Macaca fascicularis: one gene and its partners. The protein of the gene in region 5 interacts with the protein of the main gene of each other region in a biochemical or structural test. Links are inferred from orthologs where the notes say so. Each region holds a gene or a part of one and is shown on either strand. Other genes may lie near its edges.

Region 1 (5,163 bases), on a different chromosome or scaffold from region 5:
GATTTTGCGGGTCTGTCTTCTTGGAGAGAAGGGACAGTATGCAGTCTGAGAATGGAAGCAGAGAAGAGCATGGGGCACACTCATGGGCCTTAGATAATGGGAGAGAAGTAGGAAGGAAGGCTGGAGCAAGAATAGAGAGTTTTGAATTCCTGGCCAAACACCGGGATTTAAGAAAAAAAAAAAAACCACCACCACCCAGAAATCTTTATAGCAACGTCAAGTTTTGCAGCACACTTGTACAATACTGTTTGCACCTAAGAAAATTAGAAGCAAGTTTTTGATTGTATAATTTTATATGAGTTGTGTCAGTACAGAAGCACCACCCTCCCTGCTTAATAAGGTGAATTGGCCATGGCAAAACTTATTAGGCATATGAACGAGCTGGTCTCGACAGCTTCACATTAATACATCAAGGTAGACACTACTCCCACGAACTGAGATTTCAAGAGCTAATCTGCCTAATGTCACACATCAGTAAGTGGTAGAGACAGGGGTGGCACTGAGATTTGAACCAAGTTTGAGCCTGGGCACCAAGACCTGGTATTACTTTCCTTTGAAAAGCTAGGCTGGTGAGGAAAATTAGCTAGACTCCTAACACAGGGGCCTGTCAACCGCTTCTAACGCAAATTCCTCACACATGACAAAGGCTAAATGACAGCGAAAACATTTGGAAAGAAAAGACTTCTTTGTTTTGTGGTCAATTAGCATTCATTCCTGTCTGTAATAAAATAATGGGAATCGCCTGACTGAAATGTGGGTGTTTTTCACTGATTATTGACGCATTCTTTGCCACACAATTCCCTCTTGATTTTAAAAGGATTCCTTTTCATTACAGGTCACTTTTCACTCCTTCCCTTTCCTCTCAGGAGACATTTCTGCAGGTGTAGATGTCACATCAATAAAGGCAGTCATGACTGAGAGTGTGTGGGTGCCTAATTCATTCTTAATAGGATTATGTGATTCAGGGTGCCTCCTTTGTTTCAAGCTGAAGGACTCTCAGCCTCTGTTTGGGTTCCAGTGGTCTGGACGGTATCACTTGGGCATGCAGAATGTTTCACCCGCATGACGGCACCCAGTTCATACATACTAAGCACCTCCCTCCAAGTCGAAGTGGAACCTAACTCTGTTCCAGAAGCAAGTAAGAATAAGGACTTCAGGTGGAGCATGAATATCTCATTTTGAAATGACCTGTCTTCAAAACCCAAGCCAACAAGAATACAAGCCACTTTCTTGGGATTCCTCATGTTAGCTTGGTCTATTATTTTACTGTTCATGTTTTTAGACGGTCTCTTCTGGGAGGAAACATGCCAGTCATATTAAATTAAGCCACATGAAGTTGCTGTTATTTGACCATTATTTTGCTGCCAAAAATGGCAGCAAATTCACGTGAATACCAAAAATTCACATGAATCAATCTAATAGTAATCATAGCTATGTGTAAAATTCTTAGAATGTTCACTGTATCTATTTTTCAATTTAAATAGAGACCTCAGGTTGTAAGACTAAAATGAGAAAATATCACACGGATGAAAATTCTTAATATCTGTTCAATCTCTAAGTATGTAAATCCTAGTATGATCTGATAGTCTTGCACATATTTTATGAAAACTGAGTACAAAATGTTGTCAGGATGAATGCACTTTAATGCTTTAAAGTTTAATCTCACGAATCTCAACAATCAAATGATTCCACTTGATTTATATATGTACATTTTATTAGAATTCTTCAGAACTGTCAACAATTGGACAACATACAGGAATAAAGCACGTGGAACACCAACATCCTTTAAACTTACGCCGCTTATGTATTTACACATAAAGTTACTGTATATATAAAAAATATTTTCAAGGACTCATGGGCTTCAGAATATTCAAAAGACATTATTGCTACATTTCAATATTTACAAAAAAAGCCACAAAATAATTTCAAACGTTAAGCCACTGCAAAGAAACATCTGATGTAAGAAAAAATTATAAAAATATAAACTTTCAAGAATATCCAAGACAAAACTCTCAATGAAGTGCCCCTGAAGTACCTAGACATCTATAACTAACAACCACTTTTCTTACTATAATTGAAGTCAATAGAAACACAAAGGAATTTTTCAGACAAAGTATGGCAAACAACAATCTCTTGGGTGACAACACAACCCCAAAATCTGTTAACTTTGGAAAGGTGCGAGAGCATAGAACTCCAGTGCAAATGATTACTTCCAGATAATGGCCACAGTTCTCTAAATGTAGTCTAAGAAACATAGAAGGGGGAAACCATAAAGGCAACATACCTGAATCTTTCAAGACAACACACAAACTCTGCCATGTACACATTTGCCTTTTATATTGGGCAGTGAGGAAGGAGAGTTTTTTGTTTTGTTTTTTAAAAGAGGTAAACTACAGTAATAATGTCCAGGCTACAGTCTAAAGGGTAAAATTTAAATGTTTCAGTGAGACAGTAGCATTATGGAAGGTCTAAGGAACAGGTACAGTAAGATGAGTCTAAATAACAGAGTGCCTTAAGTGCAGGTGGACTGCAAATACACAGGGACTTATGCCTTCCACTTCCTCCGCACCACTATGGAAGCTTCTGGTAGGCTACTCTAGATAGCTATGTGAAAAGAAACAAGAGCAGTACTAATAATGAAAGCCAAGTTACTTTTTGGGTACTAAAAGACCCTCTTGGACTCAGGGCAAAAATACCCCTCCAAATATTTGTCTACACGCATACAAACGTACACACACATATATAGATACTGGCCCGGCGTCCAGGACATGCCTGTGAAGGAGGCTGAACCTAAACTTTATTTCCTGCTACATAAGAATCGAAACTAAGACGGCAGTGTTTTCTCACTCCTGTGGGAGCCATGCAGTGAATCAGTAACTTTGTCAAACAGCATCAAATCCATTGAGTACAATGCCATTCTGAAGCTGATAGACTTGTTCCGCAGAATCTATAGAGTAAGTTCATCAGCTAAAAGAGGAGATTTTTAGACTGTGCTTTGTGGTTACACTGTTTCCTTAAAAAATGGTATAAACTATTTCCTTCAAACTTATATGGCTCTTAATCTACTTCTATACACAAGTGGACATAATGCCAGGGTTGTATACAGAAACGAAACCTTATGGTGTTTTCCCCTCAAATGTATGAACACGGACAATTTATAGATGCGTATATACAAGTTCTGGCTAGGGAGGCCTTCTCTCCAATTCAACGCTCTAATAGCAAACTCTGTTTAAAAACCAGGTCAGTAGTATAAAAGCTCATGCAGTGGTCCACAGAAGAGCATCTTTTGTTCACACTTGGGGATCATTTTTTTCATGGCCTATGTCTCATTCCCAGCATGAAATACTAGATTTCTTAAGCCCAGGTGTTCATATTCTGTCCTTTGTTCTAATGATGTTCTGTTTTCCACATAAAGGACTTAGGTTTTCCGCTTCTAATCTTGTTGCATCATCATACTACTATGGATGGTTCTGAAGGCCAAATGTGATTACTACCATTTATTCAGGTAAACTATCAACCATATTTTTGGGCAGAATTGGAGGAGCCTTGGAAAGGACTCTGGCCCCCAGCCCATACCTCCCTCTCTTTTTCCAAATCAGAATGTTTTCTGTTCATGGTAGGAGCTACTTTGCTATTAGGAATATATACAGTTCGAACCTTTGCAATAGGATGGTGGCTGATGACAAAAATCATCAACCACTAAAGTGTGCTCAGAAAGACAGGATTGCAGTGGGGTGCCCACTATCCTGGAGTTGGATGCAAGTCAAAAGAAAACAAAATAACCATCATGGAAGCCAATAGAAGAGGAGATCATTCCTGGAGGGGTGACCCAAACACTCATTCTGCTCAGACGTCGTCGTGCACAAGCAGAGGTTGGGAGGAGGAAGCGGTGCTGCCGACAGAATTGATCCGCACGGAATGGTCCACTACAGGCTTCTGTCGGTTGGGGCTGCAGTTTGCTAAGTTGGAGTAAATCTGGGGAAAACAAGCGCATAGTCAATACACCAGGTCCCTACAATGAACACAGCAACAAAAGGCATACTTACAGTGTCAAGATCACCACTAACTGATGGAAACTCTTAAGAGAGAAGTGGTTTACAAGAACTTTATGGCCAAAACCCAAGTCATACTGACAAAACAAATATAAGCTTTGTTTTCCCCTTCATTTTTCCAAAGGAAATAACTTCATACAAGAAGTAGGGACAAAACATGCACAAGCTTAGCTCTTCTAATGGGGCACACCAGGGAGCAAGCACTATCAAACCTATCTAAAAAGGCTTGTAAATCTCTACAGCCAACTACAACCCAACAACCAATGTAATTTGCCGAGAAACCCATGGCCCTTCCAGGGGTCTCCTGTCAAGAATCAAAGTAACTGGGTGAAAAATGCTGTTTAAGTTGAAACACGCTTTGAAACCCAGAAGAACAAGCTTTAACCCAAAAATTATCAGTGGTGTGCTATTAGGAAAGAAAAGATAGCTCCAAGCACACAGCCCAGTAAAGAAAGCAGCTTAAAAAAATCAGAGTCAAAGTATCACTAATTCTTCCTTAAAAGCAAGAGAGGAAATAATAGATTTGAGTTTTCATTCCCCCCCACTTCCCAAATCACTGGGAGGGATCTCCCAACTTCAAACAGCTCTTCATTCTATATGGCTTGTGGGCATGACAGCTATCTGCCATTTTCTGGCTATGCTTGTTTGATCAGAAGGCTTATTTCACTGCAGTAACAAGCTGTCTTTTCTATGCGTTTATTCTATTCACATCACCCCAACCCTCCAAAGGATGAATGGCCCTGACACGTGAGAGGGAGAAAATACTGACCCCATGACCAGCATTTGAGATAGGGGAGGAAACATGGCAAATCCTTACGGAAACTTCTACTTCCACTGAGCACAAAACTCTCCACCCTTCCCCCTCCATCTCACATCCTTCTTTGGCTCAGAAGAGGAGGGCTGGGCAGAAAGAACTGGTTTCCATTGCTTTACTTCCCCTACCTGAAGCCCAATTTGCAACCTAAGATGAGGAGAGAAGGGGTTGGGAGGTTAGTCCTCACCTTGAAAACCTGAGGAGGAGGACACACCTGGAACTGGGAGAAGGGGGATTCGGCCAGAGTATACTCACATGATTGGTGCTTTCTGAAATCTGCTTCTCAATTAGCTGAAC
Region 2 (6,235 bases), on a different chromosome or scaffold from region 5:
ATAAGAGCACTCCAGGCACAGGGAAGTACAAGTACAGAGACATAAAAATGGTCAGAAACATGTAAGTTCAGTCTGCATATAGGCTGACTGGGAGAGTAACCAGAGTCCAGGCCCACAAAGTGGGGCAAGCAGGGTACAGGTAGATGAAGAGAAGTGTCATGTGCCCCACACGGAAGGGACTGCAGGAGTGCAGGCATGGGAGTGATGCCAATTCTGTCATTAAATAGTATCAGTAAGAATATCAGTAAGAATGAAAGTGACTGACATTCCTTGAGAACTCCCTGTAAGCCAGACATGAGCCAAATACTCACACACATTATCTCATTTTAGCTTCACTACAATCTTATGAGGAAAGTACCACCATTATCCCATTTTACAAGTGAGAAGACTGAGCTTTAAAGGGAGCAACTAGATGATGACAGGTTCTACTGTTTATGAGTTACAGAGCTAGGATTCAAAACCAAGGAACTCTAAGGTCTGTGTTCTCCGCTGCCTGCTCGCCAGTGTGCACATTTGACATGGAGGGGTAGGAGGGTGGCAGGCAGGGCAGTGAGGGGGACACTAAGGCACCCACCCAGGAAATGGATGGCCCAGGTCTCAACCACAGGGTGCGAGCTGCAGGCTGCAGGAGAGGACATGTGAGAAATATGCATACAGAGGTAGCGCTGGAGACTACGCTGGGATCTGGCAGACAGAATGAAGAGTTATAGATAACAGCAGCTGTCTGAAGAGGTGGTGATTCCATCACGCAAGTGAATGGGTAGGAACAAGCACTGAGAGCAGGGCAGGGGGATGGAGAGTGAGGGAAGATGCTGAGGTTGAGGTCTCATAGGCTACCATGGAAGGAGCCAATGGGCAGCTGGAGATTTAAGTCTGGAACTGAGGGAAATAATCAGCTATGAAGGTACAGACTTGGCCACAAACATATTGAAGCCATGAGAGTAACTGAATTTGTCTAGGGAGAACGTGAAGAACAGAAGGTGATGGAACTCTAGAAAAACCCAGCTATTGAGGAAAATATTTTCATGCCTGCAGAAATAGAGAGATCGAACTGCTTCCTTGAGAAACCTACTTGGGAAAGGGCTTTCTTCACAAGTAAGGCAAGTTGTCATTACCGGTGGGGGAAAAAGTTGGTACTGCAAAACCAACTTATTTCCTACCACATGTGAGGTTTTGAATAACATCTGGGTGGCATACTTCTGCTGAAGAAAATAAGCCAGTTCAATGGCATCTCTATTAAACAAAAATAGTGCTAATAGTGTATCAGAGTTATCACCATAGATGTGCCTGGCCACCCTGAGCCCATGTGGCCAACGTCAGTAATTCCACTCTGGACACAAACACTGTTGGCTTTGGATGGAAGTGCCGGACGCTCACAGCACTCCCAGGACGTACTGTTTTTCAGCCTTATTTATGTTCTCTCTTCACCCTTCAGCCTAAAAAATGACCACAGTGCCACTTACCCACCTTAATGGGAATCTGCACGAAAGGCCATTTCTCCAGTTTCTCTCTCTCAAAAGCAAAGGAAAACTCCCCAATATTAATATGTAGCAAAAAGAGGGAGAAGAAAAAGCCTATTTGGTCCGCCCTCCTGGCTGTTGCTACCTTGCAGCTTATGACATACACATAGAGGGAGGTCTGATGAAGTGAACGAGGCAGCCAGAGAGCTACTCCATTCCCGTGGAAACCAGGAGTCCCTTGGTGCAGACAGCTCTTCCTACTTTCCCGTGCAGTTCTTTTGTGTGACTTTGAGGGGCTCGTGAATGATTTCTAAATGTGTGCCTGCTGAGGCGAGCCGCACAGGGAGGGAGGAACCCAGCCGAGCCGTGCCAGAGGAAGCCAACAGGATCCTAGCAGTGCGGGAGCTGGCTCGGCTCTTGCATGCAGTTTTTGAAGTCAGCAAAACAGAAACCAAATTACTATCATATTATGCTGGTGGAAGCTCAAGAAGAGGGGACTCTACACCAGTTTAATTACTGTGAAAGATACACTTGTTATTCTGTGACTCGCTGCATCTCATGTGTGGACCCTGAAGACAAATGTAAGTTCTCGTGCCGCTATATTTTATTGCTATGTAATTTTCTTTCCGGTTTGAAATCATGCTTGGCCAACATGTAATCATTTCAATGAGAATTTCTAGTGAGCAAAGTTGTCTGCTAATCTTTACTTAAGACTTTTTTGTTTTCCTTTTATTAGCTAAGCAACATTGTGGGAGCTGAAATTCCTGACGGCAGCTGTGGCAATTCAGCCTAAGAATGGCTGAGAACTGTAACCCAAAGTACATCCAATTACTATGGGATTAACACTGGATGTATTTTTAATTGACTTTCTTAATGTAGAATGTGTACATCCCCGCTGTTTCTGATTGCATGCTATTTTAATAATACTGTGGCTAAACTAGTACTATCGGCATAACCAACAAAATGAGATATAAACAAGAGTCCCAGTAGTTATAAAACTTTTCTTCTTTGTCCAGGACATTTATCTCCCCGAATGCTCAAAAAAACCTGCAACCTCTATGCTAAAAGTTCATTCTGCTTTTTTGTCCTCGCTTTGCCGAGAAAATAATAAAATCAAACCGTGGACTCTCCTAAAATTGTGAATGAAGAAAACTTAGAGCCACCACAGTTCGGTTCTTTATCATTGTAATAATTGTAATAATGGAAGACAAAAATCCAGCCCCGGGAGACCAGCATGTACACCAGTCTCAGTGTTACAGAGCATGGGGACATCAAGGTGAATGGTGAGCAGAGGCTATAACGTGTTAGTCCTTCCACACCTCATCTGCTACAAGTTCTGGCTTAGACATGGATATTCTTTGTGAAGAAAATACTTCTTTGAGCTCAACTACGAACTCCTTAATGCAATTAAATGAAGACACCAGGCTCTACAGTAATGACTTTAACTCCGGAGAAGCTAACACTTCTGATGCATTTAACTGGACAGTCGACTCTGAAAATCGAACCAACCTTTCCTGTGAAGGGTGCCTCTCACCATCGTGTCTCTCCTTACTTCATCTCCAGGAAAAAAACTGGTCTGCTTTATTGACAGCTGTAGTGATTATTCTAACCATTGCTGGAAACATACTCGTCATCATGGCAGTGTCCCTAGAGAAAAAGCTGCAGAATGCCACCAACTATTTCCTGATGTCACTTGCCATAGCTGATATGCTGCTGGGTTTCCTTGTCATGCCCGTGTCCATGTTAACCATCCTGTATGGTGAGTGGCATTAGTTTCCCAGCTGTACTCGCACTGGTAATAAAGAGCATGTGCATGCCATCAGTAGATGAGATGGGGCTCAGGAGGCAAACAAATGATAAATAGAAGGCTTTATTTATAGACTAGGGTCTACTATGTTACTTATATTTTACTCTTAAAATGGGATTTCACATAAAAATCAGACAGTCTATGACCTGTGATCATTAGAGAGTTTCGTGCTTTAAAACATGTACATCCTGTGTAAAAATGATCATTGGAAAGTTTTATGCTTTAAAACCTGTACATTTAATGTAGACATTTTTATAAATTACCCCGATGCAGTCATAAACCAGTAACTTACCCGTCATTCTGAATCTACTTGATTTTTGCTCCTTTATATTCCCAACCAATATTCCAGCCTTCAGGACAGAACAGTTTCATCTTTGTCACACAGTTTTCAGCACTTCTAATGGAGTGATAAAGCCTTCCCAATTACCTTGAACATTTGCAGGGAGGACATTAGTGGTGCAGTAGGTTTTATGTTAAAATATGCAGAGTCTCCATTAGAATAAATGAATTACTCCAGTTTTAATTGTTCCCTGCCCAGAGAAGCTAATTTGGAAATGTGCCTTTGAATTATATCCTCAACTCTTTAAAAATGCGTATGCATACACTCCTCCCGTCTGGTTTGGAGGAGGGTGGGAAACAAATGGGAAGGGATTAATCTTGCTTTCTTCTCAACAGAGTTTGAAACAGTCAAACCTCTCAGCAAGGGACCAGAATGTGATATTCTTTCCAAATTATGAGTAATACAGCCAGATACCTCCTTAAAGGAGAGAGAGACTATTGTGACTGCTGACACAGGCACGAGCAGCAGTCACCCCAGAGCTTAGAGACAGGTTATGATAGCTATCTTTAAGGGGAAATTTTCTGGCCAAGTCTTAGGGGCTAAGATTTAAAAAAAAATCAACCCAGCCCTGGAGAGTGTGAAGAAGGCAGGCGGTAGGCAAGGGCGAGCAGGCGCCAGTTTGCACAAAGCTGGTAATTCTCATTGCAAGTCCAGCCTTCGCTTGACCATTTAAATGCCACACCAGAATGATTTCATTAAATTTGCCTGTCCTTTCCCCGGCATCCTGGGGAAGATTCTCCCCTTCCCAAACCCCCTCCCCTAGGGGGCAAACTCCAGTGGGGGTAGGAGGAGTGACAGAGCAGGAACCAAAACAGCAGCTGGAGGGTGGGGTGACCCCAGGCGTCACCCGCTTGGGGAGCAAGGGCGCCCCCTGGCGGCCGCCACTCTGAGCGCAGCCTGTTCCCTCCGGAGCCCCGCCCCTCCCTGAGCTGCTCCTCCCGCCTCGCCCAGTCCACGGGGCGTGGGGCATGAGGCTTCTCCCACAAGGAAATGCCCCCTCCTTATCCCGCATCGGAAACACGGACTGAGGCCTGGGCTGCCTGCTTGCGGAGAAAACCCCTCCGAGGGCCATCTGTTTCGAACAGAGAGAGTGTGGTTTCCCCCATCAGGCGCTGCAAAGGAAAAGGCTTTCATTTCAGCTCAAGCTCTTTGCAAATAATCTAAGTGAATGGATGTAAATTAGGCTTGTACGTACGCTCTTTACTTATCTAAGTATCTCCTGTGGCATTTTGGTAGAGAGTGTACGTTTGCGTTGGAGTTTGTTCAGCTTTGTGGGTCTGTAATAAGAAAAGTGGACTTTCATATTTTCCTTCTCACATGCAGGCAGATCTAACTCCGCTGCTTATGCTGTGATCAAAACTAATTAAAGTTTATATAACTGCTTGATCTACCTCCAAAACACAAAACCAGGACACTTTGTTTATGTCCATAAGGCACACTCTAACCTTCCTCATACAGCAGGTGACCTGCAGTGTCTCTTACATTGGAATTGTCTGGGGAGCTGGGAAAAGGCTTTGCAAACGCTTTGACATTTGATGTCCACCTCAGCCCACCCTCCAAAGATGATTTAATTGGGCTGGATTTGGCACAGGCATCAGGACCTTCTCTAAAGCTCTCCAGCTGATTCTGATGTGCAGCCAGGATTGAGAGCCACCACCCTAAAGCAGCTGTTCACATAGCTTGGTCCCTGGACCAGCAGCATCCGCATCACCCTGGAGCTTGCTAATTCAAATGCAAATTCTACAGCCTGCTCCAGACTAACTGCATCAGAACCTCTGGAGGGAGGTCCAGCAGTAAGAGGCGTGGCAGAGTCTGATGCTCACTAAAGTTTGAGAAATGCTTCCCTAAAACAAAGCTCAGAGCAAGGACACCTTCCTTTATTTTTCTTCACCCTTGTCTTCACCTCTCCCTACACATACCCTAAATTTGAGTTTGGCACCCAAAGCATTATTAGATCATTATTTTTCATTTTTACAAATAGACATATTCACAATCTGAATTTTTAATCATTTAGTCATTTGCACCAATGCAATTTATTGCCATCACTGTATGGGACTGGATGGTTATAATAATGACTAAGAGGTGAGATTAACCTCAGGGAAATACAATCCAGAGAATCTGTGACTAAATCCTGACAGTACAGGGTGAGAGGTGCTCCAGAAGAGGAGCCAAAACACAACTTTTGACATAAGCCATTAAGAAAAGTTTTGCCAGGTGTAAGGGGGAAGAAAGAGAACCCCCAAACAGAGACAATCTGAGTTTCCATGCCACACTCACATCACTCCAGACGCTAGAAATTTTCAAACCCTGCATTCATCAGCCAGTGCTAGCTTATCATATTTAAGTACAGTCGCCAGTGGGCTTTTTTTCAAATACTAAAAATATATTGTGCTGTCCCCTTTGCCATCACCTGTGCCTGTCCCAGAGCTGGAAATTGTCATAGGGTAGGGATCCGCATGCTCTAGGAGGCACAAGGTTGCTCACTGACACCAACCTTCTGCCTCGTAGGGTACCGGTGGCCTCTGCCCAGCAAGCTTTGCGCGGTCTGGATTTACCTAGACGTGCTCTTCTCCACGGCCTCCATCATGCACCTCTGCGCCATCTCGCTGGACCGCTACGTCGCCATCC
Region 3 (6,081 bases), on a different chromosome or scaffold from region 5:
GGGTGAGTGTTCTACTTTTCCATAACCTACACATTCCTCTCTATGGCTGGTCATTTCAAATCTAAGGGGCTTGGCCTGGCTTTCGCCACTCCCCATTTTGGCCCCCAGTCTGTGGCCAGGCCAGCAGTCCCGTACGCCACAGCAGCTCACTGGCCCACCCTGGGCTCACTGTTTCGCGTTCCTCATGCCTCCTGCCAACGCTCCCCTCGAAAACCTGGCTCCATATCATTTAATCAAAGAAACAACTTGGAAATGGCCCAGATATGCACCGATATAGGGATGGCAAAGTCCATTCACTCACAGGCAACACGCAGACATTGACAGTCTCCTGCGGAGGCTCGGGAATAACGTGAAACAGACTTGGGCTGTGACACTGGGGACAGGGCTGCCCAACGGCCGCAGCTGTGCCCAGACAGGTGCTTGAGAAGGGGGTTATTTTTTAAATGAATTATACAGCAGCCGGATTAAGAGAGTGAGGTTGCAATCATTTTCCATTCTGGTTTTCAAACTTTGCCTATTGCTGCTAAATTGCTTATGTAAGAATAACAATAGCAATAAAACCAGCTCCCTCCTGGGAGCTCACTCTCCTGTTAGAACCCACCGAGAGGCCTTGCCTTCTGTACCCCTCACAGACACGGGGGTCCATGTTTAGAGCCACACTCCATCTCCCTACAAAGAGCTGCAGTGGGTGTGTGGTTGACTCCGAGGTGCTCAGGCCCCTGCCCCTCCCTGGGGATAGAGACAATGTCTTCTCTGTCTTCTCCTGACTCACGGCCACTTTCACACACATTGTCTCTCCCCACTCACACGCACACTTTCACACACCCTGTCTCTCCCCATTCACACGCATTTCCCCCAGGACTCTATAAGCGGTATAGTGTGAGGCCCACAATACAGGCCCCAGAGGGAGCCCTTTCCCAACCCCAGCTGACTTGTTGGGGACAGAGCTGGATTTGGGATTAACCCTAAATCCCCTAGATTCATACTCTCATGCTGACAAAACTACCTGAGCGCTCATCTGGCTGAGCTCTACAGTGAAACTTAAGTGGCTTAGAATATTTTCTGGTAATGGCCAGGCACAGTGGCTCATGCCTGTAATGCTAGCACTTTGGGAGGCTGAGGCTGGCTGATCGTTTGAGCCCAGGAGTTCGAGACCAGCCAGGGCAATATGGGGAAACCCCATCTCTACAAAAAATACAAAGATTAGCTGGGTGTGGTGGTGCATGCCTGTGGTCCCAGCTATTCTGGAGGCTGGGGTGGGAGGATCACCAGAGCCTAGGGAAGTTGAGGCTTCAGTGAGCCATGATCACACCATTGCGCTCCAACCTGACCAACAGAGTTCGACCCTGTCTCAAAAAAAAGAAAAAAGAAAAAAAAGAAAAAAAAAAGGATATTTTCTGGTAAAAGCAAACAAAACAAAGCCTTTTATCAGAGTGTCTGGGTTTGAATTCTGACTACTCACTGGTTGTGTGACCTTGAACCAGTTACTTAGCCTCTCCGTGTCTCACGAATAATTCCTACTTCCTAGGGCTGTTAGGAGGACTAAATGACTTAATATTTGCAAAGCAAATAAGCAACATTAGAATAATGCTCAGGGAATTGTACATGCTACATAAAGAAAAGAAGAAAAGCAACTATTTAATTGTAACCAACATTTGAAACCAGTATTTGCTGGCCATTCACTCACTGCCCCACATTCATCTGGTGTTTATTGAATGCCTACTGAGTTTATTAGGCCAGGCATAAAGGGCAAATACCTACCATCTAGTAGGAGCAACGGAAATAAAAATACTTTTTAAAAAGGAAAACATCATCATTCTAAACAGAGATTTGCACACAATTCTAAGAAAGGCCAGAAAAAGAACATTGATCTATTTCCGTGTAAACCTGGAAAAAAAAAAAGAAAGAAAGAAAGAAAGAAAACACCCACAGTTCAATCCTTTGAATCCATTTAAAAGACTGACTATTTGGTGTAACTGGTTTGTGCATTTAGACCTGGCTTCGGTACACACGAGACTTTTGGAAAATATTACCATTCAGTGCCATCTATTCCACCTCTCTGGATGTTTTTCTTCTACCTTCCTCACCTGTCTGTCACTTCAAACGCCCAGAAAATAATCTGTGAGTTCATCCCTAGCCCTCAGATACCGGATGAGGGAGGGGATGTGGGTTCAATGAGACCAACCTCGGTCATTTTAAGAATCAATTTATAAATATTTGGGGGAGGGGCAGGATTAGAGAAAAATCTCAGTAACTTGTAACGTCTCAACTAAGGAAGCAGCAGCTGCTGCATTTAAAAATCTTGGTGGCTTAACTCAAACCAGTTGGTTTAATAACTGATGGAAAAATGAAATTCCGCCAATCCACACCCCTCCCCCAAATCCACCGAAGTCTCTCGAATGTAATCGCTCTGAATGCCCTGAGCCGGGTCAAGCTGGTGTCTATGTTTGGCTGGAGCGGACCCTGCGGAGTCCCGAGCCCCGGGTGAGGCGATGCCCAGACTGGCGCGGCGCGGGGTTTCCCGGCAGCCGCGCAGAGGCCCACCCGCCTCTCCGGCCGACTGCAGCGGGCGCGCCTGTACTCTACAAGACCAAAACGCTTTGGAAAGCGCTCGGGGCTGCAAGTGACGCCTGGCACGGGCGGCGGGCCGGACTGCCGGCCTCCCAGCCCTTCCCGGGCTCACACAACCCGCGGGCCGCCCCCACCGCCCACGAACTTCAGCGGGCAGACGCTGGACGTGCGGTCTGGCGACTTTCCTAAACTCCAGCGCCCGATCCGCGTCGCAGGGTCGGCCGCGCAGCGCGGAGATCGCGGGTGCCCAGGCTTGCAGAGCGAGCGTCGCGCTCCCGGCCGCGGTGGGGGAACAGGAACCGCCGCCGGAGGCACCGTCTCCTCCCCTGAGACTGCGATATTGATCAAGGGCTCGCAGGCGCGGGCGGCATTCATCTCCCCGGGCTCGCAGCTTGCCGCGGAGGGGAAAGGGCAGGACGCGTTCCCAGGACTAGGGCGGGGGCGTGCGGAGTCGGGGAGCTGTGCGGGGGCTCTGGGGTGAGGTGGGGAGCCCCGCTTCAGAGCCTCCCGTCCCAGGGCCGGGGTCTGCAGGGGGGTGTGGGAGGTGGAACCTCCCCTCCCCTAGGCTTCTGCCCCAAAGCCTGGAGCGATTCTTGGCGCGGAGCCGGCTACCCGGGTGGGCGGACCCCCTCCTCCGCCAACATCCCGGCGGCTTCGCCACGATTTCTTGTCTCACCTGAGTCTCCCCCTGCCTACCCAACCCTGGCTCCAAAGGTCCCGAGAGTTAGGCTGCCCCGGAGCCCAGCCTTCCGGGACCTGAGCACGGCTCTCCCAGCGCCCCCGCCCCCATCGCACTCACAGCCCAGCCCCGTCCCGCGTCCGCCAGGGGCCCGGGACGCCAGCGCTCGAGGACTGGCCGGCGGGCTCTTACCTTAACGAGCCGGAGCTGTGGATGCCGTGCCATCCTCGGGCTCGCTTGGCTACCGTCCTGAATGCCCGGGTCCCGCGGACATCCCAGAGGGGCCGGCGGGCGGCTGTGGGCTCGGGCGGCACGGGGTGGGCGGCCGGGCTCCTCGGTCGGTGCCTGGTGCGGAGGTGCCCGGCTCGGCGCTCCCCGGCCCCGCGGCCCGGCCTGGCCCGGCTCTCGCTCGCCCCTTCCCGGGGAAGTCTGGCCGCCGTTTCCCGACTCAGCCTGGCCCGCGGCCGCCTCTTGCCGGCCTCGCCCCCGCCGCCTCCCCCACGGTCCGCGCCGCTCCTTGCCTCGGCTCCCCGCCCCCTCGCCCAGCTCGTCCCCTCCCCTTCCTCCCCCTCCCTCTCCCCTCCGCTCCCCTTCGGTCCCTCCTCCGCGCCTCGCCCCTCGGCTCCCTCCCCGCTCCTCGCCTCCTCGGTTCCCTCCCCTTCCCCCGGCCAGCTCCCTGCGCCCCGCCGCCAGGATCCCCTTTCCTTGCGCCCGCGTTTGCGGCAGTCCTCGGGGCGCGCTGGCAGCGGTGGCGGCCGCCGCAGCCCGGGGAGAAGCCGGGGATGGGGGAAGGGGGCCGCGGTAGAGGGTCAGCCTTCCGCCCGGCCGAGGTCGGGGCCTGGGAAGTCCAAGGATTCTAGGGGGACTTGGGCAGGGGTGCTCAGGTGAATTTATGAGGGCGAGGCTACTGGGGGCTAGAGAACAGGGCGGTCCCTACTGAGCGGAGCCCCCGCGGAACCGGGTGAAGCTGCGACCTGCGTTTGGGCAGTTCCCGCCCTGCGGCTGGCTAGGAGGAGCTCCTCGCCGCCCCCATTCCAGCCGCGCCGGGAGCTGGGCCCGACCCCCAGCACCTTTGGCACTGATGTGCCTGGTGCGCGCTGAGACGCGAACGCTCTGCAGGATGAGCCCTTATTCATTCCTTGGTTTCTTCCTTCATTCGTTCATCTTACAAACTGAGTGCCTGGCCACTTTGGTTCAGGCAAGAGGCTGGATCTGGGAACCCTTTGGACCTGGGAGCCCCAAGATGAAAGGGAGACGGCGGTGCCCTGCAGGACAAGCGGGCACTGAACGCTGCCCAGGGGAAAGCCGGGCGCGCATTGCGCTGCAGCACGGCGAACGCCGCTAGGAGCCCGCGGGCAGGGCGTGGGGAGGACACAGCGCCCCCTCCCGGCCGAGCCCTCAGGGCAGCGGTGGGCCTCCCCGCCAGACCCCGGGGCCGTCTTTTGGATTGGCTCCGGAGCTCCCCATCCCAGGAAGGAACTCCCAGCCCTTCCTGATGAACAGAACTTTTGACTTCCTCTTCGCTCTTCCTCTCTCCTACCAGAGCTGAAAAGGGAGAATAGGAGAAGAGGAGTCACTGGGAGGTAGAGAAAAATTCACTCCGCCAGCAAAGCCTCGGCCGCCTGGCCAATGCAGCCCCTGTGGGCTACACCAGAGCACCTGGAGCGGCGGGCAGCTGGCTTTGAAATCAAACAGAACCCACCTGCCCTGCACCCTGTGCCCTGCCGTGCCCACCCTACTCCTCTCTCCTGCTGACTTCTCAGCACACTGGGCAAGAGCCAGCGTGTTCATGGGTCCACTGGCCTTCATTTGGAGCTGGAGTTATTTTAAGAGATCATAAGATGCAACACACACAGTTTACTGGTGAGAAAATGGAGGTACACAGAGGGTAAGCCTAGTCCCTTCCTCTCCTGATTCCCAGCTCACAGTGCCTGGAGGGCTGGGCCCTAAGGGGGCCTGGGACATTGACGTGGGGAGGGGCATTGCCCAGGAAGCCAGCTGCTCACATGGCTTATCCACACACCTGGCACTTTCTAGGTGAAGCACACAGTCCTGAGTCGCAAAACCCGCATTAGGTTAGTGCTCCGGAGCTGTTTGTGCCGAGGTGGGCACTGACTTGCCCCAGTCAACCCCAGAAGGGATGGACATGCTAAGCAGATGGACAACTAACTGTTCCCAACAACAGTTAAGTGCGGTGCAGTCTGATGTCCTGCAGGTTCTGGAGTCAGACGGCCTGAGTTGGAATCTTGGCTTTTCCACTTACAAGCTGTATAAACTTGGAGAATTATTTAACAATACCTCAATTTTCTCATCTATAAAGTCGGGGTAGAAACGCTACTTCTGAGGGTGGTTGGGGAGTTTGAAGGAGTTGATATTTGTAAAGCGCTCGGAACGGAGCCTGGCACATAGCAAGAGCTTAATGAGGGTTAGCTGTAGTCACCAATACTATCATCATCCTCATCATCACGATGGAGTGGACTGGATGCCCAAGTGTGAGGGGCAGCTTGGTCCCACCCTCTAGGCAATTCTTTGTGGGGAGCAGAATTCTTGATCAGAAATTCACCAGCAGCAGTAGGCTGTGGAATCAGAGGAGAGGAGGCCGGTTGGTCCTCTGGCAGCTTTGCCCAGGCCCAGCCAAGGCCTCGCTCCCTCCCTGGCCCCACCTTGGAGCACGCTCTCTAGGGACTAGATGGCTCCAGCTTCTGTGTTTCTCTCTGCTTAATAAACACCATCAAATTTTGCCTCTCTGAGCCCCATTATCCTCCCCTTGACATGATCTTTAAATATGCTAATGCCATCGATTGGACTGCAATCAAGTCTTGCTCTTCCTG
Region 4 (6,104 bases), on a different chromosome or scaffold from region 5:
CTGTCCTGGTGCCATTCTTTAGACCAGAGAGGACCAGAGGGGTCCCAACCCCTTGCGACAGGAAGGGCTGAATGAGGACCAGAGACAGGTTAGAGTCCTCCCTGATCCTCATCCAACCCCTTTCTTGTTCCAAGGGGGCTGAGAGTCTCGGGGGCTGAGGGACACTTCCTTGTCTGTATTGTGCTCTAGATACTTGAGAATTCCCCAGCCAAGTGTCCTCAAAGGTTATGGCCTTTTCCCTAGTTGCATCAGAGCATACAGTTTGTGTAGCCCTACATCCTACAGGTGGCCAAGAGCAGCTGTTTTGAGGGGAGAGGGGACATGGATGTGAGGGCTAGAATTCCCCATGCCTAAGTGTGGAGCTCTTCATATGTGGGAGGGAGCTGGGAGTGGGAAGAGGACAAGGGCAGCTGCAGGCTTTGCCAACTGTTCTGTATAATTAGGGTAATTAGCATATTCCCCACCTTAAACATTTGGCATTTATTTTTGAAAACATTCACAATTTGCTCTTCTAGCTACTTGAAAATATACAATAAATTGTTGTTTATTTCAGTCACTCTACAGTGCTGTAGAACACTAGAACACATTCCTCTTATCTAGATGTCCACTGATCAACTTTTGTGTCCATTAATCAACCTCTGTCTATCTCTCCCTGCCTCCTCCCCTTCCCAGCCTCTAGTAACCACTATTCTACTCTCTACTTCTATCAGGTCAACTTTTTTAGCTTCCACATATGAGAACATGCAGTATTTATCTTACTATGCCTGGCTTACTTCACTTAACATAATGTCTTCCAAGCTCATCCATGTTGCCACAAATGACAAAATTTTGTTCTTTTTAAATCAATAAATAGTATTCAATTGTGAATATATACATTTTTCATCCATCTTTCTGTTGATGAACATTTAGGGTGATCCATATTTTGGCTATTGTGAATAGTGCTACAGTAAACATGAGAGTGCAGAGATCTCAACAAGATTCAGTAACCCTACTACTGAGTATATATCCAAAGTATTTTATTCGTTTTGATGCTATTCTAAATGGAATCGTTTCCTTAGTTTCCTTTTTTGGTTGTTTATTGTTAGTATATATAAATGCAACTGATTTTTGTGTATTGATTTCCTATCCTGCAACTTTGCTGAATTTGCTTATTAGTTCTATTGGGGTTTTGTGTGTGTGTGTGTGTGTGTGTGTGTGTGTGTGTGTGTGTGTGTATGGAATCTTCAGGTTTTCCTACGTATAAAATTTTATCATTTGCAGACAGATATAATTTTACTTATTTATTTCCAATTTGGATCCCTTTTATGTATTTTTCTTGCTTAATGTTACTGCAGCTTTCTATCCAGGAAATGAGGATTTGAACAGTGATGGGGAGGTCAGCAATGGTTGGAGTTGGGACATATTTTATGGGCAGAACAAATGGAACTTGTTGGCTCAGAAGTGGGTGGTGGAAGAAAGAGAGAAGTTAAAAGTGACTTCTAGGTTTATGGATGGGCTAAATTATTGTGGTGCCACTGTTTAGACAGGGTAGATGGGGGGATGCAGGACTAAGAGGGGAAGAGAAAAGGTCCATCTGGGTCACATTAAATTTGGCCATGATTGTGCATCAGATAGATAAAAGCAAGAGAAGGAGGGAAGAAGTCAGAACACAGACCTCTGGGGAAAGCTCACATGTAGAAAAGGGATGGAAGAAGAGGCATCAGAAAGAGAGGCAAAGAAGAGCAATCTGAGGGGGAGAAAAAGAACCAGGAAAGTCAGAGAAACAAGGAAGAAGTTTCAGGAAAGTGGTAGTGGTCAACTATGCAAACAAGACGGGAAGGAAGGTGAGGACTGAGAAAGGATTTTTTATGTGAGCAACAAGGTTATTGGTAACCTCTGACAGAACATTTTCAGCAGAGTGGATAAGGTCTCTGCTGGAGTGCAAGTGAATTGAAAATATAAGTGAGTGAGGGAAGTGCTTTAAACAAATCTAAAGTGCTGTGTGTGTAAGGCAGTGTTGCTATTTCTGTTGCCATGGAAACAGAAACCTTTCAGGAGAACTAAAAGCCACTTAAAATCCCTGACTCTAACCCATTATATCCGCTTGTTCTCTTGAGAAAGATAATGACAAAAACCAGTCATTAGAGGGGCAGGGCAATTTTAGGTTTCTTCTTTTTAGATGTAGCCCTTAACTGGAAATCTTCCCCCTTCTTGAGAAGAGATCTTGCACTGACATCTATACTGGCTTCTAAAAAGCACAGATGACCTGCTACACTTCCTGACTTTCTTGCTATTGGTTGGCACTGTTCATAAATATAATTTGCTGTTTCCCTTTTCTTTTAAATGAGCAATCCGAATTACTTGGAGGAGAAAGGCAGAAGAGATAGAGGCAGCAGAAGCCAGGGCAGCTGAAAGACAGAGAACTTCAGGTGGGCATTTTAATCTTTGTTTTGTTAATTCAGTGTTGAGAATCATGACTTGAAGATCACGTAATAGAGGAGTAATTTTTGAAAAGTAAATTTGTTTTGTTCTACTATAAATATTATTTTCCTATCATGTACATGGTAGTTTAAAAAATACTGTGAAAGTACAAAAATGTTAAAGGAAGCCAAATTCTCCACCAAGATAGCCTCTATTGATATTTTGGGGGTTTTCCGTGTGTGTGTGTGTGTGTATGTGTGTGTGTGTGTGCGTGTTTGTGAATGTGTATATGCACATATAACTTTAGTTTTCATAGTTGCGTCCCTGCACTATGGACACGTTTATATTCATTTCCTGCATTTCAGTCTATGGTTTTTCCATGTTGCTGTGAATTCTTTGTAATCATAAATTAAAGCTGCTGCATAATATTGCATTGAGGAACTTTACTTCCTCCATTTTTAGCTGTATAGCAGTTATCCTATTTTTCATAGTTTGGGTCCTTTTATTATATAAGATATATTTTTTTCATTCAGGGTCTTGTTTTAGAGGTAGAAGAAGTTGAATCTGAGCACATATGTTTCAATGGTTTTGCTTAGAGGCACAATGAGAGTGAAAGAGTATGTGAGATCATGAGCATATAATCTGTTCCTTACCCCACTGGGACCCTAACCAGTGTTTCTCAACTCTGGCTGCACATCAAGTCAGAATCACCTGACTCTGAGGAGATTAGAAAATTACCCCTAGAATAATTGAAGCTTAACTTTTAGAGATCAGCAAGTCATCTGCAGTATTTTGTCTTGTTTTCCAGAAACTTCTCAGGTGATTCTAATAGGTGGTCGGCATAAAAACAGATGACCTACGTCATTCAAAATATTTTTCTGTCTCTGACATATACCTGAGAGTAATATGTATTAGGAGAAAGGGAGGTATAATTTCAGGCAATCCAATCAAATCTCCCTTTCAACACTACATACATAATGCAAATTACAGAATAATTTGGGGGGAAACATAAGACTTCTAGAAATTTCTATCTACCTCAGCCACATAAACTCTTGAGATGAGAATCTACTTGTGTTTCGATTTACTAATGTTTTAAAGAGGTGGATTTGTTTCCAGTGCTTCGATGGTTAAAAGTTAGAGAAGTTGAGGCTGTCGTATGTTCTGAATGTACCTGAATCACGCCCATATCTGCTAGAATCTGCCAAGGCAGCCAGGCTTCCTTTCTTTTGCAATCTTCAAGATTAAACACAAGGTGGGCATTTAATAGCTGGCCAGTCACTAACACACTGTGGGCACAGTGAAGATCGATGGCATTGGATTTGGAGGCAGAAGGTGGCTCACTCTGGCTTTCAGGAGCCCCATAGACATGGCACTTACCTTCTCTGGACCTCATGTCCTCAGGAGGAAAGTGGACAGAGTTTATGCCAGGGCTGCGTTCTGGTTTCTCCCATTGGGGACTGAAAACAGAGCCAGAGCCCCTAAACCACATTGAAGCATTTGCTGTTGCACTCCTAGCCTGCTGCAGGCCAGGAATCATCCCAACGAGACCAACAGCATGTTAATCAAATTTCTTCTTGTTTTGACTCAGTGGAGAACACCTGTTTAGTACCTTCATTAATGAATGTAAACATTCACATAGTACTTTACAAAACACGTTTACATGCATCAGTTCATTTGATCCACATACTAGCCTTAAGAACTGGAGTAATTCTTATTTTAAAGATGGTAAAGATGAGACCGAGAGAACATAGGATCTTTTCCAGGTGGAACCAGAACTGGTCCAATCTGGTTTAGCCCAGGGCACATGGTCCATTCTTACAACTTAAATAATAGCTATTGTGGGAAATTGGTTAAACATATTTCATAATGTTTATATAATTGGTTATTCTGTAGCCAGTTAGATGATGACATTGATGTTGTTATTTGGCAAAGAAAGGTGATCATGGCATGGAAATAAGAAAAAAGCAAGATATAAAACAGTATTATAAATGCGCTTATTTTTGTTTAAAAATATTTTCATATATTTCAAGAAAGATGAAAAAAAGCATATATGTGAAATTTTAGATATGTCTGGTTGGTGGTAAAGTTCATAATTTAAGTTTATTTCAGCTTGTATTACATTGTAATTTTTCTTTACCATGAACATGTACTACTTGTGTAATAAAAATAAAGGAAAGTAAATAGAATTGTTCATGTCTTTCTGGTTGGCTCTTCTCCGGATGAAATGGCCCCATCTTTTACTTGGCCGTAAAGAAGGCTGCTATTTAATTCTCTGAGTTTTGTACGTTATTGTCACAAATTTTATTGTGATTGTCAGCTAGTACTGACTGAATTCTTTGTGTGTGTTGGGCACCAAGTTAATCACTTCACATCCATTTTTTTTTTCATCAGTACTCACTCCAGTGCTCCTTTGGCAGAGGAGAGTTTGAAGCTCAGAGGGCTGCAGTAATAAAAGAGACTAAAAGGCAGAGTTGAAACTTAAACCCAGGACCCTTTTAACTCAAAAGCACATGGTTTCATTCATTATATCACTCTGCCTCCCATCCACCTGGGATCACATGAGCAGCCTCCGTTTTGGAGGAAAGATGATATATTTTTTCAGTGTACTACTCATTGCTGTGTACATGAATACATGATGGTTACTTTGGGCATCATTAAGATTTCCTGTGTACTCCAGAATCAAGGATCCTTTCTGCTTTTCTATAGTTTGCTCTATGCACCAGATATCTGAGGCACTCTAGTTCCCCAAGGGTAAGGCTTTAAGATAAAAGCCTCACAAGGGATTGTGCAATTACCCAATGAACTCTGGCTAATGCGGCAGCCAAACTGGATAATACAAAGAAAGGCAAGTATTTTGCTGTGGATGCTTAGCTTTGCTAGAGAGCTTTTTGAAATCCATGTCAGAAACCCCTAGCACTGTATTTCTTTATTTATCAGGGTATTGGCCACTGCCTCCTTTGTACTGCAGTTACTTATGTACAGTAGGTTCTATTGGACTAAGACTTGGACATTGGAGTCCTTGCATAGAACCTAGCACATAAACTCCATTGAGAATAAGGCATTGTGTAAATAAATCGATTCACCAGTGAATGCAGACTTTAGTTACAGCTAATGTTTATCTCTGTGGAACTTTATTAACCTCTTTATATTAATTGACCCATGGAGAAAATATAATCTTGACAGAATTTAAAGGAAAACCTCTTCCAATGGATTGATGACTTTGTGGCAGTATAGTCAGAGTCTTTTGACAGAGAAATCTAGTTATTATTTGAGAGGCCCAGGATAAGGGTCTAAGCAGTGAGTTGGAGTCAAGAAATTCCAAAGTTGGAAGGGTCCTTAGGAAGAGCTGGGACCAGAGGTAGACTTTTTTTGCTTCTTTAGTGTGAAATCCTTAAGGGAGAGGTTTCCAAAAAGTATAGGAAGCTGACTATAGGAAGAACAAGAAGGAAGGAGAGAAAGGAAGGGAGTAGAGGAGAAAGGAGAGGAGGAAAGAGATGGAAGAGGAGGAAAAGAGATTGAAGAGGAGGGAAAGAGATGGAAAAGGAGAGAGGAACAGAGGGGAAGGGAGCCGGTTTACTCTGGAAGTTTAAATATTAAGCTGGGGTAATTTAAAATAATTTAGTCCACCATTATTACCTATATTGTACATTACATAAATAAGAATTTTTTTATTATAAAAAAGATAATTTCCCATATAAGTCTCC
Region 5 (5,967 bases):
TGAAGGCCTGAGGGAAAAAACATGCCTTGTCTCTTCCAGCTTTTGAGGGCCCCCTAGGTATTCCTTAGCTTGTTTGTCTGTTTGGTTTTATTTTGCCTCCATCTTCATGGGGCCTTCTTCCCTATGTCTGTGCCTTCACAATGCCTACTTAAATGGAAACCACAGTCATAGGATACAGCACATCCTAAACCAGCATGAACTTAACTCACTACATCTGCAAAGACCCCATTTCCAAAGGTCACGTTCTGAGGTTTCAGATGGACATGAATCATGAGGAGACACTATTTAACCTGGGCTGTTCTTGTTGGGAGCACTTAGACATATTATGAAACTTGAAGGGGTTGGTTGGCTTTCTCCCATACAGTCTGGTAGGGAGCATCCTCTATAAAAATTACTTGCTAGCTCAAACTCAGATGGGAGGTTAGTTCATGTTCCAGCAGCCTACCATGAAATAATGGCATCTTTCATTATGGAGAGCCACTAAATGATGGCTAAGAAGGTAGATGTGTCACTGGGATACTAAAATGAGTTTTGTTACATTGGGCACCTAAATTTACAATGATTGGTTAACAACTTTTGAGTTGTTGCAATATGTAGTTTCTTCTATTTATTTTGTGTAAGAATCACTGAATTCTCATATTTTAGAACTAAGTAGAACCTTTGTGATAAAATAATCTATCATTTTGCAGATAAGATGAATGAGAGGGAAATGCATGTTTGTTAGCTAATTTGGTACAAAACTAGTAGAGCAAATTTCCCCTCATTCCTTGCTCAGTGTTCAAGTTGGACTTGTCATGTTTATTAATGCAAATAATTTTGATTATGATTTTGTCCATCTGAATACACTTGAATAGTTCTTGACTACACTGAAGAGCAACTTACAATATTACTGCATTAACAGCATCTGAGAAAAACATATACAGGCAGGATACTTCTCTTTCTACAATGTCATCTTCCTCTAATCTATGAGGAGTCTATGAATCTTTAGTGTTAGAAAAAATTGTGGAGGTAAAAAATATTAAGCTTTCCATAATGATGTTGTCCAAAGTTCCTTTAGCTGTAACTATGGACACCGTATGTGCAGTTAGACATGATAAAAACCAATTTTAAGTTGTAAATCTTGAACAGTATATAACAAAGCTTTTCCACAGTAAAAAGAACAAAAAAAATGCTTGCTGCTTCTTTATTTGTGCACCACTGAAAATTCTTATTTATTCACTTTAATTCTGCATTTACACAAAAATGCTGTAATAAAATATCTGTACACTACTTCTGTTACAAATATAGATAATATTTAAAGTGACTTTATATATTCTAATGTAGGAGTTTCACGCTCTAAAATGGGAATGAACACATGATAATTCCTCACCAGTTGTCTCAATAAACAGCTCCATCTGTTTCCCTTAGTCTTAAACTATTGTATTATAAGATGTTAATATAAGGCGATGAAATGAAGTTATGTTAATCGCCTTAATTTTTCTATCAATTTACTAATGGCAAACAACCAAAATAATTACTAACACATTGTTTTCTATCATTAAGATTAATATGAATTGAAAACCAATTGCACAGCACACTAACACATTTTTAATGTTGCATCAGTTGTTAAAATCAGCACTAAAGATTCTGGGACCCTTCTATGTTCCTCTATGATTAGCAGCATAGTTGCTTTCTAGAAAAACCATAGTCAACATGGGGTGGCATCATCATTTACTTATAGCAACATGAAAATATTTTATAAAAGGTCAAAAATAAAAATGAAAATTGAGATGTGCATTAAATATAATTTCTTTATAAAATTTAGGGACATTGCTTCATATATTTGCTATTTACTCAATTATAGAAACCAATTTTAGCAGGAAAAATACATATGCATGTAAGAGGTGGGGAGATGCAATGTTTTTATTATACTGTGTTGAAAATTTTAAAATACTGACAGTATTTTTAAAGATTTTTCAATAGAAAACTTTTTTTTCCTTTTTTTAGTTTGGGGTGGGGAGAGGAGGTAGATTGCCAAATTGAGGCATTTTTTTAAAACTCCCCAAGACTTTCTTCTTTATTTTATATTTTCATTTTTCATCCTAATTTACTGAATCCATTTTTTTTGGTTAGCTTTAGAATTATCTTTCTTTATACTAACGAGATTAGCATGTAATAATTCTTGCCCATGTGACTACAAAACGTTAGATATCTTCATAAATAAAAACCAGATTCACCTACACAAATATTCCTTCTCTTTTTTAAGTTCACAAAATGCAAGAAGAAAAGAAAAATGATGTGAGGTTGTCAGTAAGGAAAGCATTTCTATATGAGAAAAACACACTTAAGTGTTATTTCCCCCCTATAGTTTTGAAGACCCGCTGAACACAGCATAAAAGAAGTCAGGACCAGTCCATTCTCCTCACAGTAGGAGGTGAGCTAGGGGTGGGGTTGGCTCAATTCTGGCAGCCAATTCAAGACAGAACCATCAAAGTGACAGTGCCTTTTGTCCGTTTAAGGATGGCAACAGCTTCTTCATGGGTGACTCCTTCTAGACTCTGCCCATTGACAGCAATGATCTGATCGCCCCTTTTCAGACGTCCATCTTCAGAGGCTGCTCCCTGCAAATTATAAGGTAGACTTGTTTATTTCTCAAAAAATGCTGCCTTGCAGCTCACAACAGAAAAAGATCTCAACAGGAATGTAAATTGCTCTGCATGTACACACACATTGCTCCCAGTGCTCCATGGGTGCTCTAAGCCATTAAGCAATGATGAACATAGACAAAGAAGGTCTTTCTCCTAAATGGTTTTAGCATTGAGATACCAATTTGAGAGAGAATTTAGCAGTCAACAGATTAGTTGGATGGGTTTTTGGCTGTTCAGCACAGCAGTTGGTGGGAACACAAATTAATAAAGAATATTTGGGAATTTGCCTAGTAGGAATGATTCAATAGAATCCAGGATTTTCTATCCTGTAAAGAAGACCTACAGAAAGAAGGTAAATGATTAGGCAGGAACAAAAATAGTTTTACAGGACAATGGCTTGAGGGATGACAAAATCCAAAGGTCTGAAAAGCACAAAGCCACCTGAACGTTCACTACGGCAGGATAAGGCGTAAGTTCTAAATTTAAAACCCACTGCTATTTCTAATTCTTTTTGTGGTTTTGAAAAAACTATGCAAGCTGTCTTAGTTCTTACTTCCCAAGGGTAGAGAGATTCTTCATATTCCTTATGGACCCTAAATGATTAAGATTAAATACAGACATTGTTGTTTGAAAAAGAATAAAGCATGCTTATAGAAGACAATTATACAATTAAATATAAAATTAAAGATATGGAAAAGTTAATGAGGAATCCATAATGATGAAATTCTTAAAATATGTTCTAACTAGCATGCCTTAAATAAATTGTTCCTAGGCTGAGAAAAAGGACTGTGGACTCTTCTATTCACTAGCAAATGCTGTTTGTATTTTTGGACATACCAATAGCTTTTTAAAAAATCTTATAAATTAAGCCTATAGCTAGCTTGTTGTAGGTAACAGCACTTTAAATTGGCTTAAAAAAAAAAAAAAAAAACCTTTTCCAAAATAATAAAATAAAACATCCATAAGGGACCATACCACTAATCCAAAGGCCCTATATCAAATTTTTAAACAGGTTTGACTAAGTTTTGTTTCTTTTTACACTATAAATTTTGAGATTCTAAATTTTTCCCTGCAGGAATCTTGTCCAATTTTGTAGCTCCTGAAAAACGACTTAACATATTAACAATAATTATATGGGTTTAAATTATTTTAATAGGTTTACCAGTACTGCAATATCTTTACTCTTATTCTAAACCTTAAGATAGAATAGGTATAATTATAACTAGACAATCTTGTTAATTGAATCTCTTGATTGCAAATCACTGACTTATCATAGATGATAGGGTTGCTGGATACTCCCTAAATTTTTTTCAGTAGTTATTTTTGTTTTAGTCAATGAAATTAAACTTATAAAATAAATGCTTATTAATTTTCATGTGTACTTTATGTACTTCTCTATAACTATTTTATACTTCACGACGACAAAAATATGCAAACAGAAATATCAGTGCTCTATAGCATACACATTTAAAATGTTCCATTTTCAAAAGACAATCATGTGCAATTTGTGTTCAAAGAAAAAAAAATAGGCTTTACTAACCAAAGTTCATTAATATTTTTATGTATATTGTTAAGAGTTTCCATGGAGTTTCAATTTGAACCTATTTTCCTTTAAATATAATGAAACCTCAAATTGGACAAAAATATTTAATGACCTGTTCCTGTAGGGAGTTTTGAAAAGAAATGATCAACTGTTAACCATTTGGCATTACCTCAGGCCATAAACTAATAAGCCAGCTGCTGACCACTATTAATGAATGTTTAGGGGAAAAGAGGGTGGTTAAAATTTGCAAGCTTACCTTTGCAAACACTGTTTTAACATAAATGGGTAAGTCTCCATGAGGGCTGCCATATCCTCCAACTATACTGAAGCCTAAGCCATCTGGTCCTCGCTCTAGTGTAATAGACTTACATTGAGGAGGTCTACGGTGAAGGAAAGGAAAAACAACATTTAAATTAAAAAAACCCTATATCTATATATATGTTATGAATTATCTGACATCCACCTAAAGCTAGCATAATTCTCTTTGTCACTGACAAGGAGTATATTATGGGTATTTTTGAGATGCTTAAATTGTCAGTGCACGCTGTGCTCGGTATTTTAAATTTACATAATCTAATGAAATCCTACTTAACACCCTAATTCTATTACTCATTTACAGTTCCCTTAAACTAACATATTCATGGCATGTTCTCGTTGTACAGAGAAGCTCATTCTTTTTCCAGTTTATTTAAAGTGAGAGGGCTAAAGTTCAGGGGACAATAACAGAATAAGTCATAAACATCAGTACACCCAAGCTCAGAGAGAAAAATCATTTATAAGCAATGGAAAAGCTGCATCAAATTATTTAAATTTTCTAATGTGCCTCTCTCTGTTTTCCAATGCTTTTTTATCCAATTGTTGTTACTTAATACCGTGAATTTTTTCAATCCAAAGTATAATATGTTAAATGAATAGGCAGTGCTGGAAATTTTAAAATGATAGATTTGACTTGCTCCATATTACATGAAGTGGTAACATCAAGATTAAAATATCCTCCGCCCCAAAATCAGAGCTGAAACCATGGGAAGGGTAGTAGCATGCCTATCTATCTAGCTAGTTATCTATTTCTCTACTTATCTTTGATCAGCTAAATCCATGCCATAATTATTTGAGTTTGGAAGCACCTGATATGTGTAATTCATACTTCATATATCCTATCATTTTACCTGTACGTAATTCCTAGAAACACGGGACAGAGAATGCAACTGTCAGGAAGACTTGATTCATAAGTAAAAAATGATAACACTAATCATCATGTATGAGCGCACCCTAAATCATCCTGAAATATACTGCTTGACGTCAGCCCAGTGAAAGAAAGACTGGAACTTGCAGGCTCCTGCTGATGACCTGTGACCACACTCACATCTCCTCCAGCAACCACCTGCACACAGGAGAAGGATAAACAGAAAAAACACATGTTCCTGGGGCTAAGGAAAGTAATTTTTCTTCAAAAAGAGCACTTGGATTAAAATGTACATTTTATTGTCCATTTAATCATTTCTGTTAACATAAAATACAACCAAAGAGAATGAAATTTCACAAGGTCCAGAGGCCTCTTAACTGTCCTGACAGTAAACACATTCTTCTAATTCTATTGTACAAAGTTTTTTTTGACGTTTTTAAAATGTGGTCTCATATGTAATTATTTTTTAAAGATCTTTGGAATACAAGCCACTTGCTAGCACTACTTAAAACTCTAGCAAATAATCATGTACTGCTAAGGCCTGGATTTTTTTCCCCTTAAAGTATAAAACAATCAATGCATCCGAGTAAAATGTTACAAAATATGTTTCATAT

Evidence for each region.
Region 1: the proteins of MPDZ (region 5) and KIT form a complex in vitro, tested with the Homo sapiens proteins (2 studies listed by BioGRID and IntAct, with this or other methods). The link is inferred for Macaca fascicularis from reciprocal best matches to the Homo sapiens genes MPDZ and KIT.
Region 2: the proteins of MPDZ (region 5) and HTR2A form a complex in vitro, tested with the Homo sapiens proteins (2 studies listed by IntAct, with this or other methods). The link is inferred for Macaca fascicularis from reciprocal best matches to the Homo sapiens genes MPDZ and HTR2A.
Region 3: the proteins of MPDZ (region 5) and CRHR1 form a complex in vitro, tested with the Homo sapiens proteins (2 studies listed by BioGRID and IntAct, with this or other methods). The link is inferred for Macaca fascicularis from reciprocal best matches to the Homo sapiens genes MPDZ and CRHR1.
Region 4: the proteins of MPDZ (region 5) and CYSLTR2 interact in a test that uses a peptide from one of them, tested with the Homo sapiens proteins (2 studies listed by IntAct, with this or other methods). The link is inferred for Macaca fascicularis from reciprocal best matches to the Homo sapiens genes MPDZ and CYSLTR2.

The regions. Positions count from the first base shown.
Region 1 is NC_088379.1:79,156,015-79,161,177, forward strand, and holds the end of KIT (mast/stem cell growth factor receptor Kit), read right to left. Parts: coding exon 5,122-5,163; intron 3,976-5,121; coding exon 3,847-3,975; 3' UTR 1,693-3,846; downstream 1-1,692. UniProt on the Homo sapiens protein: Tyrosine-protein kinase that acts as a cell-surface receptor for the cytokine KITLG/SCF and plays an essential role in the regulation of cell survival and proliferation, hematopoiesis, stem cell maintenance, gametogenesis, mast cell development, migration and function, and in melanogenesis.
Region 2 is NC_088391.1:26,038,203-26,044,437, reverse strand, and holds the start of HTR2A (5-hydroxytryptamine receptor 2A), read left to right. Parts: upstream 1-2,752; 5' UTR 2,753-2,807; coding exon 2,808-3,219; intron 3,220-6,115; coding exon 6,116-6,235. UniProt on the Homo sapiens protein: G-protein coupled receptor for 5-hydroxytryptamine (serotonin).
Region 3 is NC_088390.1:67,368,378-67,374,458, reverse strand, and holds the start of CRHR1 (corticotropin-releasing factor receptor 1), read right to left. Parts: upstream 3,696-6,081; 5' UTR 3,476-3,695; coding exon 3,443-3,475; intron 1-3,442.
Region 4 is NC_088391.1:27,792,063-27,798,166, forward strand, and holds the start of CYSLTR2 (cysteinyl leukotriene receptor 2), read left to right. Parts: upstream 1-2,320; 5' UTR 2,321-2,408; intron 2,409-6,104. UniProt on the Homo sapiens protein: Receptor for cysteinyl leukotrienes. The response is mediated via a G-protein that activates a phosphatidylinositol-calcium second messenger system.
Region 5 is NC_088389.1:85,773,404-85,779,370, reverse strand, and holds the end of MPDZ (multiple PDZ domain protein), read right to left. Parts: intron 5,552-5,967; coding exon 5,439-5,551; intron 4,551-5,438; coding exon 4,427-4,550; intron 2,601-4,426; coding exon 2,454-2,600; 3' UTR 1,183-2,453; downstream 1-1,182. UniProt on the Homo sapiens protein: Member of the NMDAR signaling complex that may play a role in control of AMPAR potentiation and synaptic plasticity in excitatory synapses. Promotes clustering of HT2RC at the cell surface.